Drosophila melanogaster: one gene and its partners. The protein of the gene in region 3 interacts with the protein of the main gene of each other region in a pairwise test. Each region holds a gene or a part of one and is shown on either strand. Other genes may lie near its edges. The genes, in order: dah, CG14183, CG1635 and Rif1.

Region 1 (7,232 bases), on a different chromosome or scaffold from region 3:
TGGCCTACAATCGCGCCAACCGTGCCGTGGCCATCCTCTGTAACCATCAGCGTTCCGTGCCCAAGAGCCACGAGAAGTCAATGGAGAATCTGAAGGAGAAGATCAAGGCCAAGCGGGAAGCCATCGAAAAATGCGAGTCCGAGTATCATGTAAGTATATTCGAGAGGTTCTTCCGCTAGCAGTATGTTTAATTGTTATAAACCAATGCAGTCGAGAGACGAGAAGAAGGGCAAACAGCTGGAGCGCCTAAGGGATCAGCTGAAGAAACTAGAACTACAAGAGACTGATAGAGACGAGAATAAGACCATTGCCCTGGGCACATCTAAGCTAAACTATCTTGATCCACGCATATCGGTGGCTTGGTGAGTGGTCTCTCCCTTCAAGCAGCACATTCCACTCAACGAGAACTAATATATATATATATATCATCCATTTGCAGGTGTAAAAAGCATGACGTGCCGATTGAGAAGATATTCAACAAAACGCAAAGAACCAAATTTCTGTGGGCCGTTCATATGGCCGATGAGAATTATCGTTTCTAAATGGGTTCTCCTCACAGCCACGCCTAGACACAAACACACAAGTACGCCGACCCTTCCTCCACCCACCACCACCCCTTCAGACACACACACAAACACACACTCGCACCCGATCGAAGAAGATGTAACAACAAACCACACCCACCACAAGGCCGGTTTATAAATAGATTCCATGCCAATCCCGCCATTGTTTGGTCCACAGTTTATGCAATTGATAGTGCATATGTCCAGCTTTCGGCCAACGCAATGGGGGATTGTTAGCCAAAATGAGCGGGACGGAATGCTGCACTACATCGTAGTCGTGGAACCGCTTGTACGCGTCCGTTTTGTCTGCTTTGAATGGGATTAATGGGATCAAGTGCATACTACGCCGAAGTCTAACTTGCGAAATGTGCACACCCAAACACAAGCTAATCCAATATATGTCAGTTTTATTCATTAAAGGCAAGAGGAGATGTGAAACCTGGGCAAGACGTCGCCGCCACCTAAAAACAAATCAGGAGCATAATTTTCTATGTCTCTACAAAAGAACTTTTTTGTCAAGATACCCTTATACTTCATAATTTTACATATAAAACATATATACATATATATATTTATATTTATGTATATAATAATATTTGTGTATATATTTTTATTTTTAATATAATACATACATTTACATAAATATATATATATAGATATATATATATATATAAAAATATAGATGTATATATATATCTATATATATATATATATATTTAATAGCAAAAGCAAACGAAAATTATACAATTTAAAACGCAATTTTTTTTATGTTTACCTATAGTTGATTTTGTTTAGCGAAAACAAAAAACAAAAACAAAAACAGGCATTTGTACATAACAAGCCAGCAATTAGTTACCAAATTAGATATTAACTAAATTAAGATATAATAACATTGTAAATAAATATAGCTGTAAGCCCCGTAGCTAATGCTATACTATCTAAGTTAGTCTAGTTTTGTAAACTATTCTATCTATCATAATAATAATAATAATTTGTATAAGTGCAAACTGAACAGAGAAACCTTGTAGCCCAACTTTTAGCATAGCATAATTTATTCAATTCAACTCTGAAGCAGCGCTATTTGTCGACCGACCGCCCCCGAAAATGAAGAACAAAGCCACATTGGATGGATCTCGATGTGGTTTCGCTTTGATTTCGTACCTTATGATCATTTTAGTTAACATTTCGAAATATACAAATGCTAAATTGATTTGCAGACAGACCCTTAACTTTCTATACTCTAAGCAGACAGGTTTCAAGTTCTCAACCGCAAACCAAGCCGCCATCACACTGAAAACCAATTGCAGATACAAATCAAACGAGCAATTCAAATAACTCGATGAACCAAAACAGAAACACAGCCAGCAAACCAGTCGCAGCGAAAGAAAGAACTTTAATCTGAAAGAAAGGAACTTTATACATATAGAATCTATAGAAGTATGTGCAATTAAGTGAGCTAAAACTATACCTTAAACCTTGTAAAAATCGAGCCTTCACTTGAATCCTTCAGTCGACGAGAGCAGTGGATTCAGGTGGAGTTAGGAACATCCCCAACATCCATGTGCCCCAATCCCATCAGCTACGATTATGGCCGTACTTTTAACTAAGCAAATCGATGGAAATTTATATCTCGCCTCACGCCCCCCCTAGCATAAATGGCAAACGCGCATTGCAAATGAAGAGCGAACGATCTTTATATACATACATATAAACACACACACACACACGCCCAAACACATATTATAATTAGTGATTGATATAATGTGAACGCAAACATCTGTGTGCGTTTGTCGTGGATTCGCATACGGAAGCGGGAGAATGCTTTTAAAAGGCAAAAAAAAAAGTTAAATAAACTAATTACGAACCCTTCTTCGAACGCCCAGCCCCGCCCCGCCCCGCCACAACACTCACATATAAACTTGGCATATTATAATATTGATATAAGCAAACAAAAAACAACAAGCGAAATGATAAGAAACCCACTATTTTAAATCGAAAGCAAAGTAAATGAAAAACAAAATAGCATAAGTGAATGTAATTGCAATGGAATGATGCAAATATACATAAAATATATATTTAATTTTAAAATCTATGTGACACTCTTTCCATTTCCTCGTTTTGGGTAATTATTCGCATTCAAAAGAAGGGTTTTTAAATAACTTTGTTTTGTTTTTGAAATTGGGAAAATACTATGGTGAACCCAAGTTGTTCAGTTTACATTTCCCGTTGCTCAAACTTATTTACCAATTATTATATCATGGTCAAATATTCTTAGAACGAACGGATGACTTAATTAATGATAATAATAATTTTGAATCAAATTTAAAGCGCTAACGGTTCGGCGAAGTGATATCGATAACACGCGCGGCGTTGCCACCTCACGCCACACAATTTGACTTTTGCGCTAACGGAAGAGGAAGAGATCGCGAGAAACGACGCGTTTAAAAGAGACTGAAATTAATTCGAGAATCAAGGGAAATATATAACAATAAACGCCTGACAAAATGCTGAGATCGTCGGTGCCCGTGCAGCTGACAAAACTGCGAAATAGCGCCGAGGCCGTGGCGTCCATTGCCCGCGAAAAGGGATCCCAAGGTGGCCAAGGACAAAAGCAACAGGTGGACAAAGAGCTATCCACCATCATGGATGACTTGCAGCGGGATTACGGGAATTACAAGTACACGGTATACCGGTGCGCCAGTAAATTTGTGGCGCTGCAAAAGATATTTCACAGTGAGTCAGTCGCGTAGGTGGTCCATTCGAAGGAGTCCCCAAGGATTAACCTTCAAATTGCAGCTGGAAAAATCCCCTACAAGCTGGTTTTGGCCATTTTGGATCGCCATAACTTGAGTGGTGGCCTGGAACTGATGGTTCCTCCATTCCAGTTGACCTCCCTGCTGCACGATGTATACTTTGCCTGCGAGAAACTAGGCCATTTCAACCAGGATGCGAACTATAAACTGGACAGGGCAACCGGGCTGTTGGCCAACTTCTTCTGGAATGTCTACGATCCGTGGGTTGAGTTTCTGGCATCTTAAGAATATGTCTGATATTTGATTGGTTTCGCTAGGCAACGCAGACACTCCATATCCCTGTTAGAGATCAGGATCACCTTCATACTGCTGTGCAAGCTATATAGCAGCGATCACCTGGTGGGCGACATCTTTGGCCTGCTGGCCGATCCCAAGTCGCAGATCATCTCCAGATATGCATTCGAACAGCTCCTAGCCACGCTGAGCAAGTTACTCAGCTATTTGGGCGAGGCCAAGGCCTATGGCGTCCACAATCTTCCGTTGGCTATGGAGCAGTGCTTTGCCCGCTGTCCGCATGGCGTTGGTGGACTGACCGAGCCGCAGTTCCACAAACTCTGGACGGGAGCGGGTGTCCAGACGAGATTCCTGATCTATGGCAATCTGCTGGCACTGGTGAAACGCATCGAGGACACCGAGCATTTGATTCACAGTAATTCTTGTGCCGGCTGCCGCAAGGAGCACATTGTGGGCATACGTTTCCGGTGTCAGGTGTGTAGGGATATATCGTTGTGCCTGCCCTGCTTTGCAGTGGGCTTCGCTGGTGGTCGCCACGAGCCGGGTCATCGGATGTGCGAGGTCTTCGTGGAGGATCAGCCGCCATTGCGTTGGACCCGCCACCTGGCCAGGCTGTGCGGCTGGCTGGTGATGCCGCGCAAAACACAGGAGGAGGAGCGTCGCGGCTTCTGTAATGCGCAGGAGAGTGGGCCCGCCTTGGGTCAATCCGCTGCCACGCCCATTCCCGCAGAGACGCGCAGTGTGCGCAGTCAGTGCCAGGAGAAGGACCGCACAGTTGTCCTGCAGCAACAGCAGCAGGAGCTCTGCTCCCTGACGGGTCTAGCCAGCGAGGCGTCCAGCAGGCTGCAGTCCATCATCGATCGATTGCTTTTGCAAAATGCGTGGGTGTTTTCCCTTCTTTCGCCACACTTGTTAGCCAAGCCTTAAGGTTCTCTTGCATTTCAGGAAGCTGGAAACCCAGCTGCAAACAGTGGCCACCGCATCTAGTTCGGAAATATCGCAGTTTCTGAGCGCCCATCAGTGCTTTCTGCTGCAGATTATCGAGGATATGCGACAGCTATCAGTGAGTTTTCCAAACATTCGGCCCATTTAAGCTGAGCTAACTCCATTTATATACACTTGCAGCATGCCTCAGCGGTAACTTCGCCGCCACCTGCGCCAGCTGCCCAAGTGGCGCCTTCAGCTGCGCCCCTAGTCAGCTCCACGTTCCTTAGCTCCAGCACGCCTCAGCGACAGATGCTATTCGACATGTATGCGCCCGTGGGTGCCAATCTCACGCACTCCAGTAAGAAGAGAACCTTCAACAGAGCCATGAGACAGCTCCACTAAGTTAATCGTTTCTTGTAGTAAATGGCGCCGACTTGAATCGCAGCTATCTGGAGGCAAACAAATCGGATTACTCGCTCAACGACATAAGCTTGTGGTTCGACCAGCGTCGCTCGAGTGTCCAGCCAGGACAAGGACCTGGTTCCCTGCCGGCTCCTCTGCCGCTGCCCATGCCGCTGGGTGCTCTACTGGAACAGCAGCCGGCAAACGGCGGAGATGGCCGCGACACCGAGATGGTGAACTTTAAGCTGCTGCTGCACAAGGTCAAGGAGATCGTCGAGGACTCGTACAGCGATAATGCCGAACTGTCGGCGGCCACGCAAAATCTGGAGAACGTTCTCGATAGCATCATCAAGAGCGAGGAGCAGCAGCGGCGCATCAGCACGTGAGGATCCGGATCGGATACCAACTCCCATCGATTCCAGCCAGACCAAGTCCACTTAGCTTTAAGTTGTAAAGTTGTTCTAAAGTAATCGTGACAAAATGACACAACCGAGTCATGCATTTATTATATCCTTCTTCCTTTTCCCATGTGCTTTAACATTCGCGTAAATGCTTTAATTTGTAAACTTACAACTCTGACAAGAATGCAATACAACAAAATGTTTTTATAAAAATATACAATGCAAAAAACACATTGTTAACAAAGCATTTACATACAAAATATCAACTTTGTAGATTTTCCAATGCAAAGAGAAGAAAAAAAAAACGCATTTACGCCCCATTGTCATCATCATCATCGGTGAATAGCATAGAAGCCAACACATCGCTGGCCATTTGTGCCTTGTGGAGCTGCGTCAGCTGCTCCCGGCGCTGCTCCACACTGGCTGCCGGCTCACTCAAAACCTTCCAGGCGTCCATCTCCTCGAACAGACTGTTTAGCAACTCCATCTCCATGTCGGCAGGCGACATGTTGTGCTCAGCGACCTCTAGCACATTGAGGTTGCAGTGCAGCTGGAGGAGATCGCGCGTCAGGCGATGCAGTAGCAGACGCAATCGATCGTCCGTTCTGGCGTACACATGCCAATGCTTTCCGGGATCGTCGCGAAGCAGCAAGGTGTCACACCACTGTGACTGCGGCTGGCGATTGTAGAAAATACGCTGGACAGGATCGGCGGCGATGTTGGAAGACTGAAAGTGAGACCCAGGCTCACTGTCGTCCAGCAAGTCGGAAGCTGTAAGGGATTATGAGTTAAAAGGGACAACAAGTGGTCTTGACAAAGCTACTCACTCGGCTCCTTGTTTGCTTCCTGGGCTTGGATCAACTGAAACTGCAGCGTGGAGACGAGTAGCTGCTCGAATGTCGTGCAATCCTGGGCCGACTGGAACTCCAATTTCAGGGAGCAACGTGCCGTGTGCGTCATAATAACGGCCAAAAAGTCTTGGTGCAGCGTGGCGGGCGAAAATGTGGGTGCCAACGATTCTGTTTTATCGAGCAGTTTCTTCACATCGAAGGTAATGAGATGGATTTGCCTAGGGGATGCATCCTCGCCCATCTCGTACGTTGCCATCAATATGAGTTTCTCTGCCTCAAGAAGATCGACCAGACGCAGGCTCACTACCATCGCGGCAGATCGTTCCGGCGGTAGTATTCTTTCCTTCTCCACCGGTCGCCATTTGAGACGCCTGCTATGCTGATCCTGGCAGGCCCAAAACTGCGCCAGCTGGTCGTAGTCCTCGGGTGGTTGGCCATCCGCCTGCAGAGGCAGCTCGTACAGGCGGTGCTCCACGCTAAAGTCGGTGTGTGGTTCGATTACAACAATCGGATACAACTCCTTGACTATGGTGAGGCGATTGGTGCCAGTTATGTTGACTAGCAGAGTGCCACAAACAAAATAATCGCCGCAGATCCGAGTCCATACATCGCCGAGTCGTCGGAGCGGCTGCTTCTCCTCAAGGAGCAGCGAACGCTGGCCCGGCGTGCCGAAGTATAGAAGGTCTTGGACGTGGGCTAATTCCTTCTGGTTTTGCATTCGCTGGCTGTCGAGCTCGGCTTGGGCGCGGTGCACCTCCTGCAGCAGGTTCTCGAAATCCTTCGCGGGCAAGCCCGCATTTTTGGACGTGCTGGGCTCCTCATTTAAGAAATCCTCCTGGAAATCACAACGCTGACGCTTGCCATTGCCGAACTCCAGTTCCACAACGGCCTGGAAGGAAATGGGACCTTCGACCATCTGGTAGTCCACCACATCCTTGTGATCCGCCACCAGTTCGAAGTTGGCCCCGTGATCCTTGGGCCTCTTTAGGACGACGAGATGCTTCCAGCACTGAATTAACAGGTAGATGCCCTCCCGTTGCC
Region 2 (7,493 bases), on a different chromosome or scaffold from region 3:
AGGGGAAGACGGAGATGTTGATCCGACGAGGGATATAGCCGCGTTGAATGAGGATATCGGATCGGAGTATTTGGACTCGGAGGCAGAGAGCTGCTTGGAGCCGTTTATGTTGCCAAGATCAAGTAATCAGCCACTTTCAAGACTGAGTTCTTTTAATAATATCGAGAATGAAGACTATAAATCAAATACAGGTAAAACCCTTCGTTAAAATGTTAAATGCATCTAATAAAATACAAAAAAAAAAAAAAAAAAAAAAAAAAAGGAATTGATTATTATCACTAAACGTTTTCATGTTTATGTTCATAACAAGCTGATTTATCTTATTGGCTGTTACAAAATCGCAGTTCATTTTTCATTTTATAATTTCAACAATTTATTTAATACATATTGCACACAATATCTAACTCTTTCCTCTTATAAGTAATTTTGTTATTCCTTTAAACTTTCTAACAAATAACATCTTTGTATACTAACCTATTAAACTACTTCATTTCATGCAATCAGTGCCTTTACCGTCGAAAGTTAGTCATTCGTGTAAGTTTTGTATTCATTATAAGTAATAGTCCAATGGTTATTTATAAATTTAGGTCAATGCTTTTTTTATACTGAACCTGTATTAAATTAAAAATATTTGTTACTGCATATTAACCACATAAAATGTTACAAGAATCTTACTTCAAAATGTCCATATCTGATCTATTCCACAGGCAAAGTATATTTAAGACATCCTGATTCGTATTTACCGACGATGCATTTTCCAAGTGAGACCGATGGGGAAAGCTCTATGACCGAGGGGCCGATTTCTAGGATGGAAATAAAAACCAGGAGGACGATAAGTGGTAAGCAAGGGAAATGCCTTTACATATCTTACAAATATCACGATTCTCTCTAATTATGCAGAAAATTCAGAGGAGGCATACCTATTTCCATGCACTGTCGGAGAAATTGGATCCAACAGCAACATTTCGGTTCGACTGTGTGAAATTGAAGATTCTGAGTTGGAGGAGTTTTTACCACAACAACAAACAAACAATTAAATGACATGCTTAATATATAAGAACTACATTTTACACAAATTATTTCATTTCGTTAGATACTATTTTCCATAGGAAAACTTTGGTTATATATTTTCAATAAAAAAGACACAAAGAACATCTGCACTTCCATAGTATCATTAGTTTAAGGCCAAGGTAAGTTTACACTTACAAATAGTTATATATGAAAATGCATATTTAAATAAGTTTTAAACTGATTTATTTATTTCTTTTTGCTTGCCTTCGCCAACTTTTGAGCCATATACGATTTTCTCAGCTTTTCCAGCTTGTTTGAGCTGCCGAACCATTTATTGAACTTATCCATTATCTAAAAAGAATTTCAGTTAAATGACTTAGTTGCTAAACATGTATTAAGTAAGCAAGTATACCTTCTCATCTGGAGGGAAAATGGGAGGCTCATTCTTGCTCAGGAAATATTCAAGGAACTCGTTCGGATCCAATGCCTCATTCTTGAGTCGCATCTTACGGTCGATGTTCAAGGTCTCCTTAACGTTATCATCAATGTCGCCGGAGTTGTACGCCTGAAGGACGCGTGCCAGTGCCGAGTAGGCGTACTCCTTCATGTCATCTGGCGCGTTCTCGGTCATCAGTTCCAGCCACAGCAGGAAGCTAGTGCCGTAATCGCACTTCGGAATAAGCAGTACTTTTTGGAACGCTCGCTTGATGCCTCCATTGGCCGCCCAGGGCATGTTACTCGTGCCGACTAGTACAATTTTGTCATTTTTCTTCAGTGGTTTCAAGATCTTGCTAGCTAACGAGGTGCCCAGCAGTCTGGGGTTAATCTCCACTGCCTCAGGCGGAACCTTTTTCCAAAATAGTCTATGCGCTTCCTCGATGTACATTATGGTGGGCTGAAAAGCCTTAGCCACTTTTAGAATAACATGCAGGAAGTACTTCAAGTCTTTGGCATATTTGTAGGTATTCTCGGGACTTAGGTTCATAAAAACTGCATCTGGAGTAGACAGAAGGTTTAAGTGCTCCGACAAAAAAAAAAAAAAAAAAAAAAAGAACAATTCCCAACAAAATGTTACTATACCTAGTTCGGATGCAATGATTTCACACAGCAATCGTTTTCCGCTATTCAGAGGTCCAATTAGCAAAAGAGACTTCGGCTTCGGAACATCGAATTCGCCCATTCCCAGCATCGACTCTTGGATAACCATTTTAATGTCACCCTTTGCTGGGCCCAATGTGCTGAATTTTAAATCGATATTAATTTTTTTTGTTAGGCTTAGTAGCTCTTTCAACAAATAACTACAACATACGTTAAGCCATCTTCATCTCGAGTGTCGTCTGCCACAAAGTTGAAGTCCGTTATGAACTCATCAAAGTCCCTATGACCAATTTCCTCTATTATGCCGGCATCTTTGAGCTCATTGTACAGGGATTCCAGTGTCCGATCGCCTGTCATGTCCTTGGGCTTCTTCTTCCTCTTCTCCTTCTTCTTCTTAGGATACTTCACCTTGAGAGCCTTGTACTTCTCATCGTTATCCTTCGCCAAGGCCTCCCGCAGCAACTCATACTCAACCCTGGAAGTTGAAAAGTTATATTTTCATTGTAAATATAAATAAATTTACCTCATGTATTCGTCGACCAAGCCCCTCACTTCCTGATGAATCTTTGCCAGTTGCTCCTCAGTAACCCATTCCTTGATGGGATCATGATTCTTGTTTAGATATTCATCGACATTTCTCCAGTCCTTGGAGTACTTCTTCATTGTTTCTTCAATGTTTTCTAAAATTGAAGAGAGTATTTGGAGACAATGGAAACATTCTCCATTAAGTCAAACTATCTACCAATTGCCTTGCTTGCAGTTAGCTCGTAGCCAATATCGATGACTCCAGCGTCTCTCAATTTCTTCCGACGTTTAGCTTCCTTCATTTTCAGTTGTTTTAGCTTTTCCTTCTTTTTCCTTTTCTCTTTCTTCTCCTTATCGCGAAGTTTCTTCAACTCGGCTTTTGACAGCGGCTTTTTACCAAGGCTTTCCTGAAATTCCATTGGCGTCATTGTTTCATCAATGACAACCAGTACCGTTCCTTGTTTTACAGGATCGGGATAAGGATGAAAATTCCCAGTCGCGTCGTAGCTGTTAAGTACGAGTTATACGTTTTTGCCTTTTTTGCCTCAATGAAAAACAACTCACAATTCCTTGAACCATGCCCGGATATGATCGGATATATCTTCCATCATCCATGGACTTCGGAATTGCAGCAATCGGGTGCGCTCATCGTTGATCAAGTTGATGAAGTCCTCATCCAGCTTCTTCTTGAGCATCTCGTTCTTGTACATTTCCATAATAGAATTTGCCGTCTGATTGGGTCGCTTCAGTTTCCTAATTTTCTTCATACCATACAATTCCTCCTTGAACCGCTTCCTAATCTTAACTATTTTCCGCGTCTTGTAACCACGCCAACAACTTTGGATTTTACAAGCAGCATTGTTCTGTATTGCACTTAAGGCTTCCTCATCTAGAAAATAATTAAAAACCAAATTAATTGTTTTGAAACGATCTAGCTACTTGCCATCTATTGCGGTATCCGCTACATCATCCTTTTTGATAAGATTTTCGCAGGACTCGTCCGCCTTCAAGAAGTCAGCTGAAAAAATGGTTCTCTTCACGGGAATACTCATTGCCTGATCAGGCTTAAAGGTGAATTTGTAATTTATTTTCTTTCTTTGATGGACCTTGAGGAACTTTTTCTTGTCGTACTTTATGTTGGACTTGTAAACCCGAGCTCGGCGCGCCCTCTCGTGAGCTTGGATAAGCTTGACCGCCTCACTGATCGGAACCCAATCCTGGGCTGCCTTTTCTTCCTTTTCCTCATCGTTCATGTACAATCGGTTGTCGGCAATGATATTTTGAATGTCCAACGGGCGACGGTAAAGGAATTGTGGTGACCTCCATACGACCAGGTCCCGTGGTGTTAGCTTCCTAGCGATCAGCGCCTTATCTATGTAAATGTATTCGCTCATTTCCAAGTCTTTTAACTCCTCCTTGAGTTGCATTAGCTGCTGAGTGGCATTCTCCACCAAAACACGTACCAATGCCCGCTTTTGCACTTGGAAAGTATTGTGGTATATGAAACTTAACTTATTGACCAGCTCCACATACAAAACATAGAGCTCTGCGTAAATTTTATACGATACTGCCTTTTCCTCTGGCGGCTCAATCTTCTTCAGGCGGTTCTGCTTCTTGATTAATTTACCAATTTCCTTGCGCGTGTAGACCCAAAATTTATGGTTAAGATCGAACGACATTTTGGATTTTAGCTATATGTGTGTGTGTGTGCCTTCCTAAATAAAAAAAATGTCTTGCCGTGTTAAGAATATAGTATGTATTTATTTGCTTCTGTACACTTAATGAAAATAAGTCGATTACCTGGTTATTCAAGGGCTACTTAGTACCAATATAGATTTTGATTTTATATAAATTTATCACTTTATTTCACTTAAGATACGATAATCAGGGAATCCGGAAGGGAACAACCACGGCCTCTTTGTGGTCGATCTGTATGTGCGAGACACTGATGTGTGCCTTCTCGGTGAAGAGCTTCATCTAAAAACATACGAAATTGGTAAGCAACAAGCAATTTGCGAAAAGTAAAACTCACTTGAGCAGTGTCATCTGGATAGGTTGGCTTAGACAGATAGAACTGATGGCTTGGTACATCTTTAAGGAGACCTGTTGTTCATTTAATTGTTAGTCATCATTCACCCTTTCAATCTAGCTATATTGCAAACCTTTTGGTGCGATACTGGCGTGCTGGCCGTTGTTCCACTGTTGATGCAACCGCTGCGAGTACAATCTTATTCTATCGGCGTACTCCTGGTGCTCCAGGCTGTGACAGTCCATGGCTCCAACGTTTATCATGTTTCTGGAGAGCAAAGTAGCGTATAAGCGAATACAAATATAATATAGATAAGCGATAATTAGGGCTGTGTTGCTTTGTTGCATTGAACATCCCGATAAATGCTTGGGTATAACCATACTACATACTAGATCCTGCCATCGCTATAACTACGTAGGTATACTACTATAGTATAGTATAGTATAGCAATCGCTGTAAAATGCTAGCATTCCAATCAATGGAATTGTATATGATAGTGCCAAATGTGGACCCTATACACTATCAACTACGTACATCGCAGTATTCTGCACCAGTCTGGAGAGGGCGTTCTGATCGTCCTTCTTGGGAAGGGAGTGGGCGTAGTCGGTGCTGAGGCCATCGGAGTTGCTCCGTCGAAGGGCAGGACTATGGTTCACCGGGTCCACGAGAAGGTGTGTCCGCTCGTTCGGCTCGTTGGGCTGCAGATGGAACGCATTGTGTATTCGGTCTGTTGACGGGGAAAGGGGAATGTGCGGATTACCTGCGCACCTGGATCTTCGGTGCATTGCCAGCAGTTGCAGATCGAGGCTAGGTAGCTCCAAACAGAGTGCACATACTCCATTCTAAATGCAATTGTTCAATTGTTCTTTATTTTTTATGCAAGTTTTTCTAGGGATGGAATTGTACATATTCGATAAGATCAGTGCTACCAGACAGTTTAAAACAGCTGTATACATACTTGTTATCGATTAGGCGCTAAATATTACAATTTTAATCGGACATTAAATTCATGGGTTTTCATAAGGGAATACTAGTTTATTACTTACTGTTCCTAGCGTTATCCTTGTTTTATTTATTATGAAATACTTTTTATTGGGAATTAAGTTGATTTAAATTTATACTTTATTAATTTGTTATATTTTTATTGGAAATCGGCAATAATTGTGAAGATATTAAAAAATTTAACTGCTTTTGGTAGACATCAATTATTAATTTGAAATATTTATATTGCTGTTTTTTCTATCAACCTATATGACATTTTCCCCAACAGCCAGCCCACGAGAACGAGCACATTCTTGATTGATGAAGATGCCAAAATTTCAGCCAACGGAAGTTGCTTATCTCGTCGCTTCCTTCGTGCCAATCAAATGAATTGGGCCGCACATTTTTAATTGTGTCGCTCGAGCAGTAAGGACAAAGGATGCGGAGTACGCCAGCTACTCGCAAGGAACGGAGAACGCCCTTAAATCAACGACGCGGTTAACCATGATGGCGAAAGCGGCGAGGCGGAAACGCAAATTCATTGCCGAGGCTGCATGACATGGGGGCATGTGTGGCAGTGCTGACAGCTTTTGCTATCCTTTCCACAAGAAGAACCTCTGAAAAATGTAAAACCATAATAACATAATGTGTAATATTGGGGTTTCTGAATGGGCTGATGTTCTTCGAATATCTTACGTAGAGTGAAAAAGTTCAAGATTCATAAGAATTTAAAACTTAATATGGCCGTTAAAAAACAGTTTTTCTCTCCAATACGGTCTAATTTATTGAGTTTTCCCTTCAGTTTGTTCTTCTGTTTCCGCCGCCTAAGTGAATTTATTGTCTCCTCCTGGCAGCACTGATGTGGGCCTCGTCATCGCATCCTGATCCTTTGCGCCACCTCCAGACCCGGCACCATGCCCATATATTGAGCCAGACGCACACTCACACTTGCTGGCAACTTGTAACTTCGTTTTGCCCCGCTTTTGTTTCCGTTCCCTGGCAGCGGAAGCCGGGCTAGAAATTTCATAACTGCCACAAGGAGCAGCTTCACTTCAAATTCAATTATCCTGCGCCTGCACACGGCCCCAAAGGATATCGATCAGTACATCTAAGGAGGTGCATATGTCTGCGGCTTGCCGACCGGGAATAGGCATCTTACATCGTCATTTTGCGATACGCCATCTAAGGGATTTCCTTCGAGGATGTTGGGTTTTATCTAGACAGCTCATTAGCTGAGTAAGTCCATTGTTTTTAGATTTATGATGATATACTAACCAGCCAGGAAAACAAATATTATATACAAATTATGCATTATACATAAAATTTTTTTAATAAATTATATTTATTTTTTATGCTAAGAGCATTTAGCATTTCACTTGTGAGGAAACACTATATTCAGTATTTATTTAATTTGATGGCTTTGCAAAGTTCAATTTCTGCTAGCTCATTTGGTCTGGATGGGCGTGGTTCGGCGGAACTGTAGGCAAAAAACCTCAACCACATTAACGACTTAATGAGCACCCGCGAAGCAGTTTGCCACTTGATTGCCCACGGGGTGGCACCAGTCGCCGCTGATTGGATTCAGCTGGTGTTTTATCTAGGGCCTTCGACTTCCAGCCAGTTTCAGGTTCAGAATTCTCCGGCTCATTGTTGCATCGACAAAGAAACGCAGTTTACATCGAATAGCTGCGGATTATCGGAGCCACGCCCCCAAAACCCATACCCTCGTCCTGCCGCAGAAGTGCGGCACCACAGCGGTTTCAGTATGCAAAGCGCAAGGCATCCGGAGGCCACATAGTCCTCCGTCCACCTCCACTTCGGCGGATAAATAGTGCCGCGCAAACTTACA
Region 3 (6,346 bases):
TAACCGCGTCTGGAGCGGAGAAGGTATAGTGAAACGTGTTAGTGGTCACGTGGTTCCCCGTGTACGCGTCCAGGACTTCGGCAACAGTCATGATCTGCAGGTAGTTCTCCTGGGTGTACACCACATACGCGGTCATCTTGATAAAGCTGTTCACGCTGACCGGCTTCTGGAAGCTAATGTCCGATATGTGCTCCAGCGTGGGTCTGGCCTTGCAGTAGAGGAACGCTGTTGCCCAGCTAATTTCCAGGGCACTGCGCATGAGGAATCCCCCGAAGACAGTGTTGTTTTGGTTCCTGTGCTCCGGGAATGAGGGAATAGTGCTCATCTGGAAGGAGTCGTGCATCCAAATGCAGTTGGGAGGCAGGAGGCGGCGCGGACCGGTTTGCTCGTTGGGAGTAGTCCTTTTGTAGAGTTTGTAGATGAGAGATTGTTCCTCGGCGTTGGGTTCCACCTTGAAGACGGACTGAGCGATGAGTAGCTGTCGTTGCTTCTTCCTGTCGGTCCCGCCAGCTAGGATGCGCTTCTCCTCCTCGTTGGCAGGCTGAATGGGATTCACTGGAGCCGCAGCTGTGTTGGTGGCATTTCTCGCCGCCATCAGAAACAGAGCTCGCGTGATTTTCTGATACTCCTCATTGACAATCTGCTCCAGCCATACCACCACCTCCATGGAACTGGTTCCCACCCAGGACACGTGGCCAGACAGACGGATGTCTTGGGTGCCCTGGGGTGAGACACTGGTGAAGTCGATCCGGTCCACCAGGACCGTCACGAGGGAGTACGGCAAGGGTACTCCCTCTGGCAGATTGGGCACTTTCAGGTGCCTATTACAGCACCAAGCTACGAAGAATTAAGCAGACAATTATTCAACAACATGGCTTTGGCCAAACTAGATGGTACCGGCGAAGATGTCCATGTCCTCCAGAAGCCTGCCAAGGCGCGCGAAGCCTCTAAAGTTGATATACTTGTCCTGCAGAACTGCATTCGTGCTCAGAGGAATGATGGCCGAACAAAACGAGTCCTGCATAGATCGCGCAGGTAAGTCCTCAAACTTGGGTTGGTACTTGAGTAGATCCTCCCTGGACTTCGGCTCCGTGGTGAACCCAGGCTCCAGGCCGAAGCTTTTCAGCATCTTCTTCTTGACTAAAAGGGATATCTGGACAAGTAGCACCTATTTCTGGAATGGAAGTACTTACTCTCCGTCATAGTGGCGTATTGACCGTCCGCAGAGGAGTTACGCCCATTAGAGCTAGAAGAAATGTGGCCTATAAAATCTGATTTCTGCTAGTTGTGTTGGTGCTTCACCTGGAATTTTTATGTGTCATCTTCCTGAGGGTCCTGGCCTTTAACAAGCTCCGGCAGCTGCGGGCTCCGAGCAAAAAAGGTACAACACATAATTTAACATTTCTAAGACCAGGCCCCATGGAAACGGATCGGGATCGAGATCTGAACTCAGATCCGACACGAAATTAAAACTATAAATTTTGCTTCAGCTCTGCTTTTTTGATTACAGGTAATGGGTATCCAAAAAATGTAAAGTCGGCAAAAATTAGGGATTATTTTGACAGTTATTATATTAATAAACATTTAATCTAGTACTCTTCGATAGGGTTTAATAGAAGATTTTAAAAGTTTTAAGCTGGTTGGTTAAGCACATCATTAAACAACAGACATTTATTGCTTTTTGTAAACACTGAACTGGTAATTGCATTTATCTGGTAGGATAGCCTTGCATAATATCTTGAGTAACAATCACAGGCTGAACCATGTCTACACTGGGCCCATGCTGGCCTCGAACTTTCGACGACCTTGGATGTACCACATGGTTTCGTGGTAGGAGCGGGGCAGCACCTCGGTAACCGTGTCCGGAGACGAGAAGGTGTAGTAGAACGTGTTGGTGGTCACCTGGCTGCCCGTTTGTGGGTCCATCACATCTGCAACGGTCATGATCTGCACGTAGTTCTCCTTGGTGTACACCACATAGGCGGTCATCTTGATGAAGCTGTTCACGCTGACGGGCTTCTCGAAGCTGATGTCGGATATGTGCTCCAGCTTGGGTCGCGTTTTGCAGTAGAGGTAGGCTGCTGCCCAGCTTATCTCCAGGGCACTTCGCATGAGGAAGCCTCCGAAGACCCGGTTGTGGTGGTTCCTGTGCTCCGGAAATGAGGGAATAGTGCTCATCTGGAAAGAGTCCTCCATCCAGCGACAGTTTGGTGGCAGGATGCGCTTGTTGAGTTCCAAAGTGTTGGTGGGAGTTGTCCTTTTGTACAGCTCGTACATAATTGTCTGCTCCGGGTCATTGGGTTCCACCTTAAAGATGGACTGAGCACAGAGAATCTGACGTTTCTTCTTTCTATCTGCGCCGCCAGCCAGAATCACTTTCTCTTCCTCGTTGGCCGGCTGTAAGGGGTTCACAGGAGCCGCTCCGGTATTGTTAGCGTTTCTTGCTGCCATCAGGAACAAGGCACGGGTTAACTTTTGGTACCTCCCGCCAACCATCTGTTCCAGCCACACTACCACCTCAATTGAACTGGTTCCCACCCAGGAAACGTGCCCAGACAAACGGATATCTTGGGTGCCTGAAGCCAAGACATTGGTGAAATCGATGCGGTCCACCAGAATGGTCACAAAGGTGTACGGCAGATGAACTCCCTCCGGCAGATTGGGCAGAACCAGGTGTTTATGACAGCACCAAGCTGGAAATAGCGGATAGTGAGAAAGTGCGCCAAGATTCCAGCAAATGTGTTCCTCATACCAGCAAACAAGTCCATGTCCTCCAGAAGTCGCCCGAATCGCACATTGCCCAGATAGGTCACATATTTGTCCTGCAAACTGCGGTCCGTGCTCAGAGGAATGATGGCCGAGGTGAAGGAATCCTGCATAGCTCTTGGAGGCAGATCCTCCAGCTTCGGCTGGTACTTGAGCAGCTGCTCCCTGGATTTGGGCAGCGGGTTGTAACCGGGCTCCAGCCCCAATCGCTTCATCATCCCCTGCTTGACTGCAGACGTTCGGGGATTACGATGGGTTTGACTCTGGCAAGACAACACTTACCCTCCGCCATGGTTCCGGATTCATTGGCGACCGCTGATTGCTTGATATGCGTGGGCGGTGAGTAGTGACGCCTGTTAGAGATGAAAGTACTCATTTACCATGTAAGCTCATCATTTATTTTTTGCTCTTACTTGAACAATGCGAAGGATGCTGGCACCTGTTTGGTGGGTAATTCCATAAAGTTCCTGGTGCGGATCAGGCCCCAGCACTTTTGTGCTCCTATCAAAGAACGCATCATCTCGGTTTAACTTAGTTTCGCAGCTTTCTCCTTGCTTTTCAAGTTACATACAAAGTGTAACCTGTCTTTGATCTAACCCCAAATAGAAAACAGCTGGCGGCCACAGCTGACTGGTACAGTGGGCTCGAGAAAATTCGTCTCCAACTAATTTCGAAAAGTTCGATTCTTTAGTATATTAATTTTTTCCCATTTACTTTAATTAAATTGATTTGAGACTGACTGTTCTTTACACAACAAAGTCTTCATTTAAAAAAAATCCTAATATATCTCATTATTTTCAGTATTCCATCAACTTGAGCCCACTGTTTACAGAAGTGATACATACGTATGACGTCATCCCGATTGTTGTTAATTTTAAACTGGGAAGCGAAGTTCCCTAGACAATTTCTCAAATTAACACATTGTTTTGTGATGCATAAATTATGAAATTAAGAGATTGTACTGTTTGAATATTGACTAATTGCTACTGTATATAAAATAACATATTAAAATTAAAATAGAAAATAGTCATCGTTTGTATAAACTATATTTGCAGGTATAAAACCTTGATATTTACAAAAGTATCTTGACCCGAACGCACTTAACGCAGATATTCGACCAATAAAACAAAAAATTATGGGAATAGTAAAATCCAAATCTCTACGCTTACAGATTTAGTTCCTTGAGCGCAAAGTTCAGCACCACCGGCAAAATACCAGCATCTTCCAGATCCAAGATCTGTTGCCGAAGGTTCTCCACCGGATGGGAATGTATCATCTGCAAGAAGAGTTAGAGTGACAATAGAGCATTTCGTTAAAGTGCGCGGTTCGAGCATACCTTTTTGATCTTTTGGCGTTGCTCGCTGCTCTGGCAGAAGCTGAGTAGAGAGGCGGCCATGTGCGGTCGATGGACGACGATGCAGAGCTGGGCGAACTGTAGCAGGTTGAGGGCGTGCACCACCGGACAGCCCTGCAGGCGCAGCAGCGTCTTGTGGAGCACCTCTTCCTGCTTAAAGGATCGTAGCTCGACTGCGTTCTGCAGAGGATGGCAGAGCACATAGTCCCAGGCCTGGGCCAGTCCATCCAGGTGAAGTAGATGCGGCCGGCAGCTGAGTACATCCAACAAGGCGTTCAGCTCGCGCACCATATGGAACATGACCATGCGCTTCAGAATGCCGTTCCAGATCTGCGGCAAGTGTATATCAAAGCCCAGGCAAATGTTGGCCATGACTTCCAGCGAAAGGGGATTCTGCGCATTACGCTGCCAGATCATCTTCAGAATGTCAATCTTGTTGCAATGGTCGTCGGAGAACTTCTCCAGGTTCGACTTGTAGCCCAGAGCCTTGAGCTCGTGCACACACTTGATGCTGATGAACTGGCGTTGGCTAATCGTGTTGGTAAAGGAGTTGCTGCCATCGTTTAGCTTGGAATAGCACTCGTACATTTGCAGCTGTGTGGAGGTGTTTACCGAACTGGTGGAAGGGTTTATTCAATGAATTATTTTCGCTAACTTTTAAGTACCAATCCTTACCCGCCCTTGAAGATCAGACCCACAAGGAACTTGACTGCCTCCGCCTTTGGCCAACTGGAAAGTATGTAAAACGCTCTATTTACGTTCTCGCTGGCGTCCTGGCTGTTGGAGGACTCTGCGCCGTTGGCCTGCTCCGGCCAGTTCTGCTCCTCCATGAAGGTCTCCTCCAAAATGGTACCATCACCCGCAGACTCCATAGTCAGAGCGAGCCACTTCTGTAGCAGGCGGTACTGGATGGTGGCTAAGCAGAGGTCGTGCAGCTTGGCTATCTCTGCGACCAGAGCGTTAATATCCACTTTGCTGGACTTGAGGATCAGCTCATGGTGGTAGAGCGCCTGAATAAGCTCGGTGGGGTTCTCAACTTGGCGCAGTAGCTTCTCATCGGTCAGGCCATAGACATACAGCAGGTGCTGGGTCTTCTGAATAGGATACCGTCGCTTCACCTTGGCAACCTGCTCGCGACTCTTTGGATCTGTAATCAGGTGGCCCTTCTCCTTGACAAACTTCCAGCACTCGTAGGAGGCCTCCACCTGATCGGCTCCATCACGAGCATAGTTGGACACGAAGTACAGTATTAGAAATGCCTTGTTTGGGTTGTTCACCTTCTCGACCAGTCGTAGTATTGACTGCAGGAAGGCATTATTCGTGGGATGAAGACTCCATGATTCCGAATCATTTTTCGACTTGTACTCCGATATCGAATTCTTTACTGCTGACATGCAGAAGTAGTCACAGTTCTGGGAACTATCCTTGGATCCCTTCAAAGCCGTGTACATCTGAATCAGTGGAAACCAGCTTTGGCAGTTGTCCACGTTTAGTTCGCTGTCTGAATAGAAGAAGCGGAAACTATAATTAAACAGAAGCATTAAGCATTAAACTATTTCAGTTGAATATACCAAGAATATCCTTAAGAGGTTGCTCTACGATGGGCTTAAAAGGCAGACGATATCGAGATATCTTCGGCATAACGCCATTTTCCCTTTGTGATTTCAGCCACGTGTCGGTTTCCACCTGACCTGGCCGATTGCGTCTTCTGGTGATCATCTTGTGTCTCAGGAAGTGCAAAATGTTCATCCAGATTTCCATTTCCTTCGGAGCCGAATCGAAGTACATTAGGATGTTGATCACACACATGTACAACTCGTAGAAGTAAATGTTGATCTAAACGATTTGCAAAGATATTAAAAAAAAGATTATTTGTGGCATCAGTGAGCTTACGTCTTCAATAAAGTGTTTTAACTTGGAAGTAAAGAGCTCGACATTATTGATTTCATTAATGTACGGTTGGCACATATCGCGCATTTCCTGGGCGCTGCTTAGCATAACCAGTTCCTCGTCGCCGAAGGTATCCCTCTTCACCTCGAAGCGCAACTCCTGGGCGCTCAATATGCTTAGTATCTGGGTAATAAGAATCTTTTGGTAGTCGAACCCAAAGTCCTTGCTCATGCGTTCCAAAAGCTGAACGTCAAGTTGCTTATTGTGAAACTCCTTAAGCAGGTCCTCTATGTTGTCCATGTCGGCATTGAACTTGCCCTTTATTCTATGATCCTG
Region 4 (9,355 bases), on a different chromosome or scaffold from region 3:
CTCACCGACTTCGACGCCCTGTCACCGGACCCCGAGAGCAGTCATCGCTTTCCGTCGCCCCACCCCAAGATTACACCTGTTCTGACGCCCGATGGCAAGGTGGCGCTGCTCTATCGCGGAGACTCGGAGAGCTCCAAGTACGAGCCCATACGCAACCTGACGCACAAGTTTTCGGGACAGCCGGCCAAGGAGTCAAAGCCTAAAACCGAAGATTCCTCCTCGGCGGAGGACTCTGTCTACACGGACAGCGAGGATACCGAGGACAGTAAAGGTGAAACTAGTGCTGGAAAGTCCTCACCAGTGGCCTCCACGCCCAAGCCACTGCAGCCAGAGATTTTGGAGCCTCCAGATAACGTCCAGCCAGGAGGGTCATTTATAATTCGGCCCACCTCCGACTCGCTTCTGCCGATGATCAACAGGCCACTGTCCGAGGTTCTGGGCATCAAGAAGAACCAGTTCCAGGAGACCCGGGTGCGTGACCAATTGCCCACGCAACAGCCTCCGCCTCCACTGCCGGAGGCCACGTCCCGTAGTCCCGCTTCCGGACATCAGTTCCTAGCCAAGGTGAACCTGGCTGAGTTCCCGACATCCGGAAGGACGCTCCAGACGCCGCTGATCCCCAGCACCCACGACTTTGACTTCAGCCGTGACAACACGATGCTGGACGAGCGGTCGCGGGTGCGTGAGTTGGAAAAGCAGCGGGAGCGGGACAAGGAGCACAACGAGGCCACCAGCAAGGGAGCCACCGAGGCACACACCATAGCCAACGAGCAGCTGCTCTCCAAGACGGAAGTCATCAATCTGGCCATTGTGCCACAGTTTGACGAGGACTTGGAGCGTCTACAGCGGCTGCAGGAGAATGGTGGTCGGCGCCACCATAGGGCGCGACATCGTCATCGGCAACAGTCGGAGGAGGAACTGTCTGGCATCCATTGCATCATGCAGGTCATGATGGGCGTGGCCGCCGTGTCGACGGTCTTCGGCATGCTGGGCACCTTCTTCAAGCAACGCATCCTCGATCAGCTGCGCATGATGCACTGGTAGTACAACAAGGGGGATTCGATTTTCGGTGTCGAATGCCCCACATCCCCCCACCCAATCCCCGTTTCCTGCATCGTCATGATCATCATGCAGTCTATGGAGGCTGGCTAGCTGCCTTCGGGATGCAAGGTCCTTCTTCTACTACTAGCACTCATATACTCGAATATATACTCGTACTCGTACCATATGCCATATGCCATATATTAATCGCATAATCTATGTAACACAGCGGCATCGATTTGCTTTCGTCCCCTTCCGCTTCCTTATATATATTTATATATACATTTATATATCTATCTTATCCTTCGACATTGTGCTCGCAAATGCGGACACTTCCTTGCTACACATGTATTCTATATATTCGCATATATCAATTTACTAGTGCAAGCTACCCAGGCGATGTACATAATAACAGAACCATAATACGGCGATCGATCGATCCGGATATCTATGTATTTATGTGAGACGCAACTGTAGCCCCTGCCACACTCCGCCGGAAATTAGCTGACCCACGTCACTTCTTCCCCGTTCCTTCTTTCGCACGTTGTGTGCCCTATTTTCCCCTCCCATGTAGGACATTCTCAATCACATCAGCGTATACAAGCTTTAAGCAAGTCATTGCATGTGCCACGCCCCCTCGAACTGAACTGAACTCAACGCCCAACCCGCCCAGCATGAGTCCCGCAGCAAATACATTCCCTCCATCCCCCCACCATCCGTCATCCGCCAGAGGAACCAGTCGAGGAGCTCGGAAATTGAACGTAGAACAGATTCCTTTTGTAGATAGAAAACGAAACAGTTGTTGGGAGATGGTAACCAGACGAATGTCGAATGACAAACGATAAATAATGATAAACTAAACTAAAGTTCTAAACAAAACAAAACACAGTAAAATCGCACAGAAGCGCACGCATTACAAAATACAAAAACCTGCAACGGTCGTTTTAAACGCTCCGTTCAGTTGTCTCAAAGAAACGAGTAAACGATAATAAGTGCATAACGAAAACCTTCTTTAGTCTAAGTTGCTCAAAGGATAAAGTATTTTGATAGAACCGGAAAGGATCGAGAAACAAACCAATAAACCACAAAGAATCGAATTGAATCGTAACGAAACAAAGGCCCCAAACGTGTAACGAATTTCCAACAAATTGTTGCAAGTGTTTTCCTAGAATTAGTCCTAATTAAACTAAATGTGTGCAAATCGAAGCGTAACTAATATTACAATTAATCTAAACTAATTGAGGAAACATAAACCTAAACATAAATCGGATAACAACATCTAAGCTGGGTAGTCGCATGTAAATCTCTAACAATTAACAATTACCGACCTAAGTTAGACCTAAAAATCGAAACAAAATCGAATCGCATTTAAAGAAATCTACATAATAATAATAATTTATACTAATCTATATATACTTATATGTATGCTGTATGTATGTATGACCCTATATGTATATGTAAAATGTTTTTGACTATTTTTCACTATTTATATTCATATATATTATATATGCATATACGATACATGTGTAATAGCCCCTTTTGGTCATTTTAGTTGTCTTTTATATATATTTAATACGTGTATTATTTTTATTAATTATTCAAGTATAACTATGCGCACCAATTAAACGCATACCTTATGTATAACCTATTGACAAATATATATATATATATTATGTGTAATAGCTGTTGCTAAACCAAGTTTAATTATCAGTTTTTTATTTAACCTTTTTCCGGCGAAGCTTTCGACGGTTCACAGCCGCAAAATTGTGTTCAGCTAATTAATTAGGAAGAGAACGTGTCCCGAGCAATAATGGGGGAAATGACAATTATAATATTCATTTCTGTGTGTAACAATTATTTCCTAATAAAATTGACAAAGAAAAATGTTTAAAATTAAACGAGTTTGTGTTTTGCAACTATGTCGATCCATAAAAGGTGCAGATTCTGTATGATTTGCAATTCCACGTTTTAAATACTTTTTAGCTTGTAATTGGGGAGTTTAAAATGTTTAAAAATCCAATTGAGTCCCGCCAGTTACAAAGTTATTTTACGGAAATCAGTTGAGGACGGCGGTTCTTGAGCTCTACAATATCGAGTAAAAAGCAATAAACGAGTAAAAGCTAAAATAATAATAACGGTAGTCCTTTGTGATGTTGCTAGGATTTTAAATTTAAATTATTTTTAACTTCCGGCGTTGCACAAGTCTGGCAACTCTGAGTTTCACAATTTTGGTATTTTCATACTGTCGGCGATAACTTGTCGATGACATATCGACCTGCTTTTGCCACCTCTAGCCATAGCAATTCGCGCGCTTTTTTCTTCGACAGTCTTTAAAACTGCGGGAAAATAACTTGTGGCGTTCGCAGGCGGAAGAAAATAATATAATTAAATAAGCGTATCATCCAGCGTACGAGCCATGGATGTAGACTTCGGCGCGCAGGCGGGGCAGTCCTACCGCACGGTGCAGCTTTCCGCGAAAGAAGTGCTCGCTGCTGGCCGCCGTCAGCATTATTGCAACGTAAGTAGGGCACCCAATTGCAGCGCCAAGTATGTATCTCACTATAGCTCCGGCCCCCCACCTATATTTCCATGTGCACCACCAGATGATCGACTTGTTGGCCAGCAGCTGCAAAAGCTCCGGTTTGATAGCCACTTCCTTTACGGATGACGAACTGGTGGAGTTCTGGCTGGGAGATATCCTGCCGCTTATGTTCGATGCGGACCGAAAGATCCAGGACTGTGCCGTGGCAGCTCTTGCGGAGGCACTGGTGGCTCTTGACGTGTCCGTTATCCACTCGGCCAAGTGCTGGCCTCAGATCCGCAGTGAATTTGTCGACAAATACACCATCATCATCGGGGAGATGCGCGATGCTAAGAACTCCAACTGGCACAAAATATGGACGCTGCTGGTACAAATCATGGACGAGGATTTGCTCAGGGGCTGTGTATATATCAACAAATTCTTGGCTCTGGTTGAATTGGGCTTCCGCAACCCGGATAATGGTGTGCGGTCGGAGGCATTTCTTTGCTGGCGCGTGCTCATCAAGATCTTTGCCGCCTACGACGAACTGACATCCGCGAAGAGGCTTCGTTTGCTGCTGATCCCCCTGCGCACTTCACAATCGCGATCCTCGCACGTGAGTGGCATCAAGTTGCGAGTGTGGTGGTATCTGCTCAGCTGCCTGGACCACGAGTTACCCAAGTCTTTTGACAGCGCCGTGGAGCACTTTTTGGCTTTTATGCTAGGCGGAGGTCCACGAAATCTGGCTACGGGTCTGGCGCACAACTACCAGACGGCTCGGGAGTTGGCCCTGCCCTGCCTTGTGGCCCTTTGGGGCGTGGAGTCCAGTGAACCGTTGCAGCGTCTAATGAGAGAGCTACGCTTGGAGACCTTGGTCCAGCCCTCGCCTCTGATGAGCGTAGAGGTATTCCAACAGCATTGGAAACCTCTTTTGGCCGCTGCCGTTTCCGGTTTAAAGTTGCTTACCGAGAACGATGCCACAGAAGCGGAACAACTCCTGCTGCAGTTGCTCGTGCGGAATCTGTGCCTTGCCATGTTTCGGTTGGCAGTTGCTCCCTTCAATGTGGCGTGCTGCAGTGAAATCGAGAAAATCCTGCAGGCTGAAGATAACTCCGGTGGCCGAGTTGTACGCGCTCTTTTCAATACCATAGCCGCAGATAACTTGGTAATGGAGCGTGTGTCTGGAAGCGACCATCTTGATGTTCTGGAGGCCTACTTGAAACTTGTACTGAAATCCAAGACAGAAGTTCCGGCAGCAATTCTGCAGCGAAGTATCGCATGCATTTTCGCAGTCGATCGTATCGAGGCGAACAATCAGAACGAGTTCCGGATGCTGGGCTCCTTCGCTGAGCTTCTGATGCAGGCCAACGACGAAGAGGACTTTGAGGGATTCGCATTCAAGCTGCAGGTGTGGCGACAGGTGTCGCAGGCGTTGTCCAACTATCTGCGAAACAATGCGCTTGAATACCGTGTGGCACACAACGCTTCCCTTTTGGACACTTGGCTTTTATGGCCACTTCAGACACTGGCTGCCTTTGCGGGACGGCGTGCTAGCAACTCCTTCGATGCCTCTTTTTGCGATCAATGGCGCCAACTGGTAAACGCAGGCCAAAACGCGCCGGGGAGGAAGAAGTTCTTGACGGACCTGAAAGCCACACTTACAGACCTCCTAAAGAGCAAGGATGAACCGCTCTTTGCAGAGCTCTTCGATGCTTATGTGACCTCCTTAATCAAGTTTGGACTCTGTAAGGAGGCACCTTTGTATAAGGACGTTTTTGGGCTACTTCAAACCATTTTCGAGCAGCCCTCCTCCCAGAAAACGCTCGAAGCCTGTTTAAACACCCTCCGCAACCTGGTGGTGGAGTTGCGGCAAAACGAACTAATGGTAGTGTTCGATTCATTGAAACCAACATTGTCTTCTGGCATCCAGTGCTGGAATAAGATGAAGTGCGAAGGCGGATTCTTGGAGGAGTGGAAGCGGGGAATTCAAGAAAAGTTTCGCAAGCTACCCATGAAGACGATGGCCAATCAGCTCAAAGAACTCTTTAAGGCAGATGATCTCTTCGTGATCATCCCATCAGTGTGGAGTCTGAATCCAGAGAAGCTGACGGATCGTCAAAAGGAGCGCTTCGCTGAAAAGTCGGACATTCCAGCTCTGTACAATGATATGTCGCAGTCTCAGGACTCGGCTTCCATTAAGCCCTGGACCCCTAAGAAGGTGGTTATTGCAAAGAGCAAACAGGGTGAGCTGGCCTTAACCGGCAAGGATGACAACGGCGAGGTGATCGATATAACGGCCAGCGAGGAGTCTGAGAAGGAACCAGTGAGAGTTGACGTAGTTACACCCATCCGAAAGAAACCGGGGCGTAAGTCCCAAGCTCAAAAAGAACTCGAGGCCGCTGCCAGGGCTGCTTCTCTTGCCGAGGAGCCGCCAAAGCGTCAGACGCGAACACGGGCGGCTCAAAAAGAAACGGAACAGGTGGCTCAGCCACAGCCAGCGTTTGAACCACAGCTCAGATCGCCAAAGAAATTGCCACCGTCCCCGGTCGTTCAATCTACAGCAGGTACGTGAAACAAGTAACAGGTGAGCTAAGGATGTTAATCCCAACACTTGAATTTTTGCAGCTGCCGTTAAGCAGGCAAAGGTTGCAAAACCCACCCCCGTTGTGGTAATCGCGCAGAGCGAGGATCTTTTCCCGGAAGTCGCAGCTGAGCCAGAGCCTCAGCCAGAACCGGTTAAGAAACCCGACCCTGTTCCAGAAACAACACAACTGACCCCGCCTGATGTACCCTTGGAAGCTGTACCCTCTACCCAACTGCCTGGAAGCAGCGGAGATCCTGCCGCTTCTGCGGGGGCTGTGGCTGCCGGTGAGATGTCTCCAAAGAAATCAGGCACGCGAATATACAATTTGGTAAGTAAATCGCATTAGACTTGGTTAAAACGGTTACTTTATTACAATGTTTTTATGAACTTTTTTAATTTCCGCCTTCTTTTCGCAGAGCTCTCCACCTGATCGCAAGCAGACAAACAACTCCTCGAGTCCAACATTGCGGCCCAAGCCCACGGGACATCTGACTGGACGCGGTGCTCAGTTGATCAATATGATTCGCAACAAGAAGCTGGACGCTGCTTCCGGCTCGCCGTATGCGTGCATGTCTACTTCGCGCCTGGTTCACCAAGTGACGCCGGCCCGTGCCCAGGATCGCGCCGAGCAGGTGTCCACTCCCACCAGCGAGCTAAACGAGCTGACGGGCACGGATCACACTTCCACACCGATTCAGGCACCTCCCTCGAAGGATCTATTGGTGTTTTCCAAACGACTGCCATCCCCATCGGCCAGTCCCTCCGTAAGCATCTTGAAGCGCAAGCTACGATGCGAAAGTCTCGATGATGTTACTCTGGACTCGCCGGCTCTAAAGCGTAAGCGAGTTAGTTTCCACGACCCACCGGTGTCCGTCACCAAGGAGTATCTACGCGATGCTGAGGAGACGCGCAGCAGTTTGAAGCCCAAACGCTGTCTGCTTATGGACAAGGTGGCCCAGACCACCGAGATGCGCCAGGCGTTGAGGAGACGTGGTCGGTTAGACAGCATAATCGAAATAGAGCGTTTCGCTAGCGAACAGACGGCCAGAACAGCGACGACGGACAAGAGCCTGGACAAATCCACTGGCGAAGCACCCGAGGAGGATGCTTTCACCAGCTTAAAGTGGAACGACACAGGCAACGCGCACAACATTAGCATATCCGAAGAACCCGTCAAGGCGATGGAAGTGGAGTCTGAACTCGAGACAGCCGGCCAGGATCTAGCCATCATGGATCCAGAAGCCGCTCTTGATCTGGCGGTGGCGCAATTACCGCTGGAGTCGGTTTTGCAGCGCTACTTTGACAAGAGTCCGCTGAAGAGCGCCGGCATGTTGGCTAAGTTTCTGTCCGCCCAAATGACGGCAAACGAAAAACTTAAGACCAACGTGCTAGAGACTCTGTCGGAGAACCACTCCAAGGATTTCCTGGACCACGCTGTGCGCGAGAATCTGTCGTCGGTGGTGTGCGACCGCCTGAACCCGACCTCTGTGCTGGAGTACGTATGCGCCAAGTCCAAGATCAGCGCAAGTTGCCGCAACGGGCTGCTGGCCCAGGTACCCGAAATTCTGAAAAGCGGCCCACGTTCCGATTCTGAGCGCCTGGCCTTCGTACAACAACTGATGGTGCAGTGCAGCCCCGGTGACGACCTGCTCCTCGATCTCATTGACCTTCTGATGCGTACGCGTCGGGAGCGGAACAACAGCACCTCCACTCACATCTCCAAGGGCGTCGTATCCGCCGTTGGAAGCCCTGACAACGTGGCCGAGACCGCGGCCGACTCCTCATCAAACTTATAGATTGGACCTGACTTGAAATTACGAATGAAATATTAAGCACTTGGCCATTGAACTCGATTAAGTATGGGAAGTTCGATTGTAACTAGTTGGTTCTAGATAGTTAAGTTTAAATTGCATTATGTTTAAGATTTATATTATGCCCGTTGGTGTATTATGTTTTGCTGCAAAAACTTGCTTCATATTCTTACAATAAATTTAATATTTTATTATTATAAAAAGTAGAAAGTCATCAATATATTAGATAATATATATATATTGGTGGGAGAACTTATTTATTTTTAAGTACATCGATCATAATTCCTATAGATAAAGGAAAACAGCAAAAGGAACGAATTTGATAAGAAAACCCAGACAATTATTTTAACTTGTTTTCGAATTAAAATTAGTGTATTTAACTCTGGGAGTTCATATACTCAAAAGTCCACACTGCAGACAATGTTACCTAAAATCGTAATCGATTGCCATATAATCTAGGGAAATCTTATCAGTACGTCAAAAGTGACGTGACAGATACGTTTCCCATCAGGCAGATAAATAATTAGTATGATTTGTGTTAACTTCGTGTTAGCTATTCAGCGAGTTCAATGGTACATTGATCAAATATTGTCAGGTAATCATGATGGAATTGAAACGACTATTCTGAGTGATAAAGTGGTGCTGAATAGGTGTAGGGCATTCCAAAGTCTTAGAGTTGCGCTTTTTAGGTGCTTGTGATTATGCTGGATACTTTTGGGGGTCAGGTAGTGGCACCTTCAGTGGAGGGCAAGCTCCACGTAGAAACCTCCACTGGTGCCGGCCCAACCCTATCTGGTTGATTTGTTGTTCTGGTCGCGGCAAAGTCAAATTACCCCGCCATGTCCGCCGCATCCATTGATAATGTTCACGTGCTAGCAAACAACGCGTCGTCGCCGACATCGGCAGATAGAGATACGTCGACTGGCGACGCCGACGATCTTTAAAATATATACACTACACTATATGGCATACATGTGTGTAGGAATACGTCTACGGCGACGTCTTTCGCTGGCATTTGTGCAAATACTACAATATAATATTATGTTCCAACGTGGGCGGAGCGCTCTACACGCCACGGATGCGTGTTAGGTGCTCCGTCGGTGCTCCAACAAAGACGTTGGATACTTTGTATCAGTTACAGGCGGCGTGATAAGTGCGCTTTCGGCACAATTAGCCAGACGTTTTAATTTGGGAATGCCAAGGTCGTTTGTAGGTCTGTACTTAGCACTGCTGTTCGTAGGATCCCGATCGCCAAATCGGCGGATCTGGCCGCCCATATATATAAATAGCGATGGAAAGTTCTTGCCCAATTGCGCAAGTGAAACTGACCTACCTAACCCAGGCCATCTCGTGTACGATGACGCAGTCCGTCCGTACTTAAGTCTTCTGCTCCGTCTG

The links.
Region 1: the proteins of CG1635 (region 3) and dah interact in a two-hybrid assay, tested with the Drosophila melanogaster proteins (one large-scale study listed by BioGRID).
Region 2: the proteins of CG1635 (region 3) and CG14183 interact in a two-hybrid assay, tested with the Drosophila melanogaster proteins (one large-scale study listed by BioGRID).
Region 4: the proteins of CG1635 (region 3) and Rif1 interact in a two-hybrid assay, tested with the Drosophila melanogaster proteins (one large-scale study listed by BioGRID).

The regions. Positions count from the first base shown.
Region 1 is NC_004354.4:15,325,377-15,332,608, forward strand, and holds dah (discontinuous actin hexagon), read left to right. Parts: upstream 1-2,965; 5' UTR 2,966-3,067; coding exon 3,068-3,296; intron 3,297-3,359; coding exon 3,360-3,576; intron 3,577-3,633; coding exon 3,634-4,491; intron 4,492-4,555; coding exon 4,556-4,673; intron 4,674-4,735; coding exon 4,736-4,895; intron 4,896-4,957; coding exon 4,958-5,325; 3' UTR 5,326-5,626; downstream 5,627-7,232. Other genes in the region: Top1 (topoisomerase 1), read left to right, coding at 1-149, 211-362, 440-542; CG9114 (uncharacterized protein), read right to left, coding at 5,651-6,111, 6,168-7,232.
Region 2 is NT_037436.4:20,023,449-20,030,941, forward strand, and holds CG14183 (uncharacterized protein), read right to left. Parts: upstream 4,388-7,493; 5' UTR 4,314-4,387; coding exon 3,578-4,313; intron 3,524-3,577; coding exon 3,199-3,523; intron 3,142-3,198; coding exon 2,852-3,141; intron 2,790-2,851; coding exon 2,633-2,789; intron 2,585-2,632; coding exon 2,321-2,584; intron 2,250-2,320; coding exon 2,092-2,249; intron 2,008-2,091; coding exon 1,424-2,007; intron 1,363-1,423; coding exon 1,258-1,362; 3' UTR 1,239-1,257; downstream 1-1,238. Other genes in the region: kug (kugelei), read left to right, coding at 3-191, 505-534, 708-839, 901-1,037; Lamtor1 (late endosomal/lysosomal adaptor, MAPK and MTOR activator 1), read right to left, coding at 4,519-4,611, 4,667-4,737, 4,797-4,930, 5,198-5,361, 5,424-5,504.
Region 3 is NT_033777.3:31,585,693-31,592,038, reverse strand, and holds CG1635 (uncharacterized protein), read right to left. Parts: upstream 3,367-6,346; 5' UTR 3,287-3,366; coding exon 3,180-3,286; intron 3,120-3,179; coding exon 3,049-3,119; exon of another isoform or gene 2,996-3,048; coding exon 2,753-2,995; exon of another isoform or gene 2,694-2,752; coding exon 1,768-2,693; 3' UTR 1,647-1,767; downstream 1-1,646. Other genes in the region: CG1638 (uncharacterized protein), read right to left, coding at 1-837, 898-1,140, 1,194-1,246, 1,303-1,421; rod (rough deal), read right to left, coding at 3,932-4,042, 4,103-4,736, 4,796-5,621, 5,692-5,956, 6,014-6,346.
Region 4 is NT_033778.4:15,863,109-15,872,463, reverse strand, and holds Rif1 (Rap1 interacting factor 1), read left to right. Parts: upstream 1-3,316; 5' UTR 3,317-3,457; coding exon 3,458-3,559; intron 3,560-3,644; coding exon 3,645-6,126; intron 6,127-6,187; coding exon 6,188-6,474; intron 6,475-6,562; coding exon 6,563-7,942; 3' UTR 7,943-8,155; downstream 8,156-9,355. UniProt on the Drosophila melanogaster protein: Regulates the timing of initiation of DNA replication. Functions in copy number control by promoting the underreplication of DNA, which is found in many late replicating euchromatic regions of salivary gland polytene chromosomes.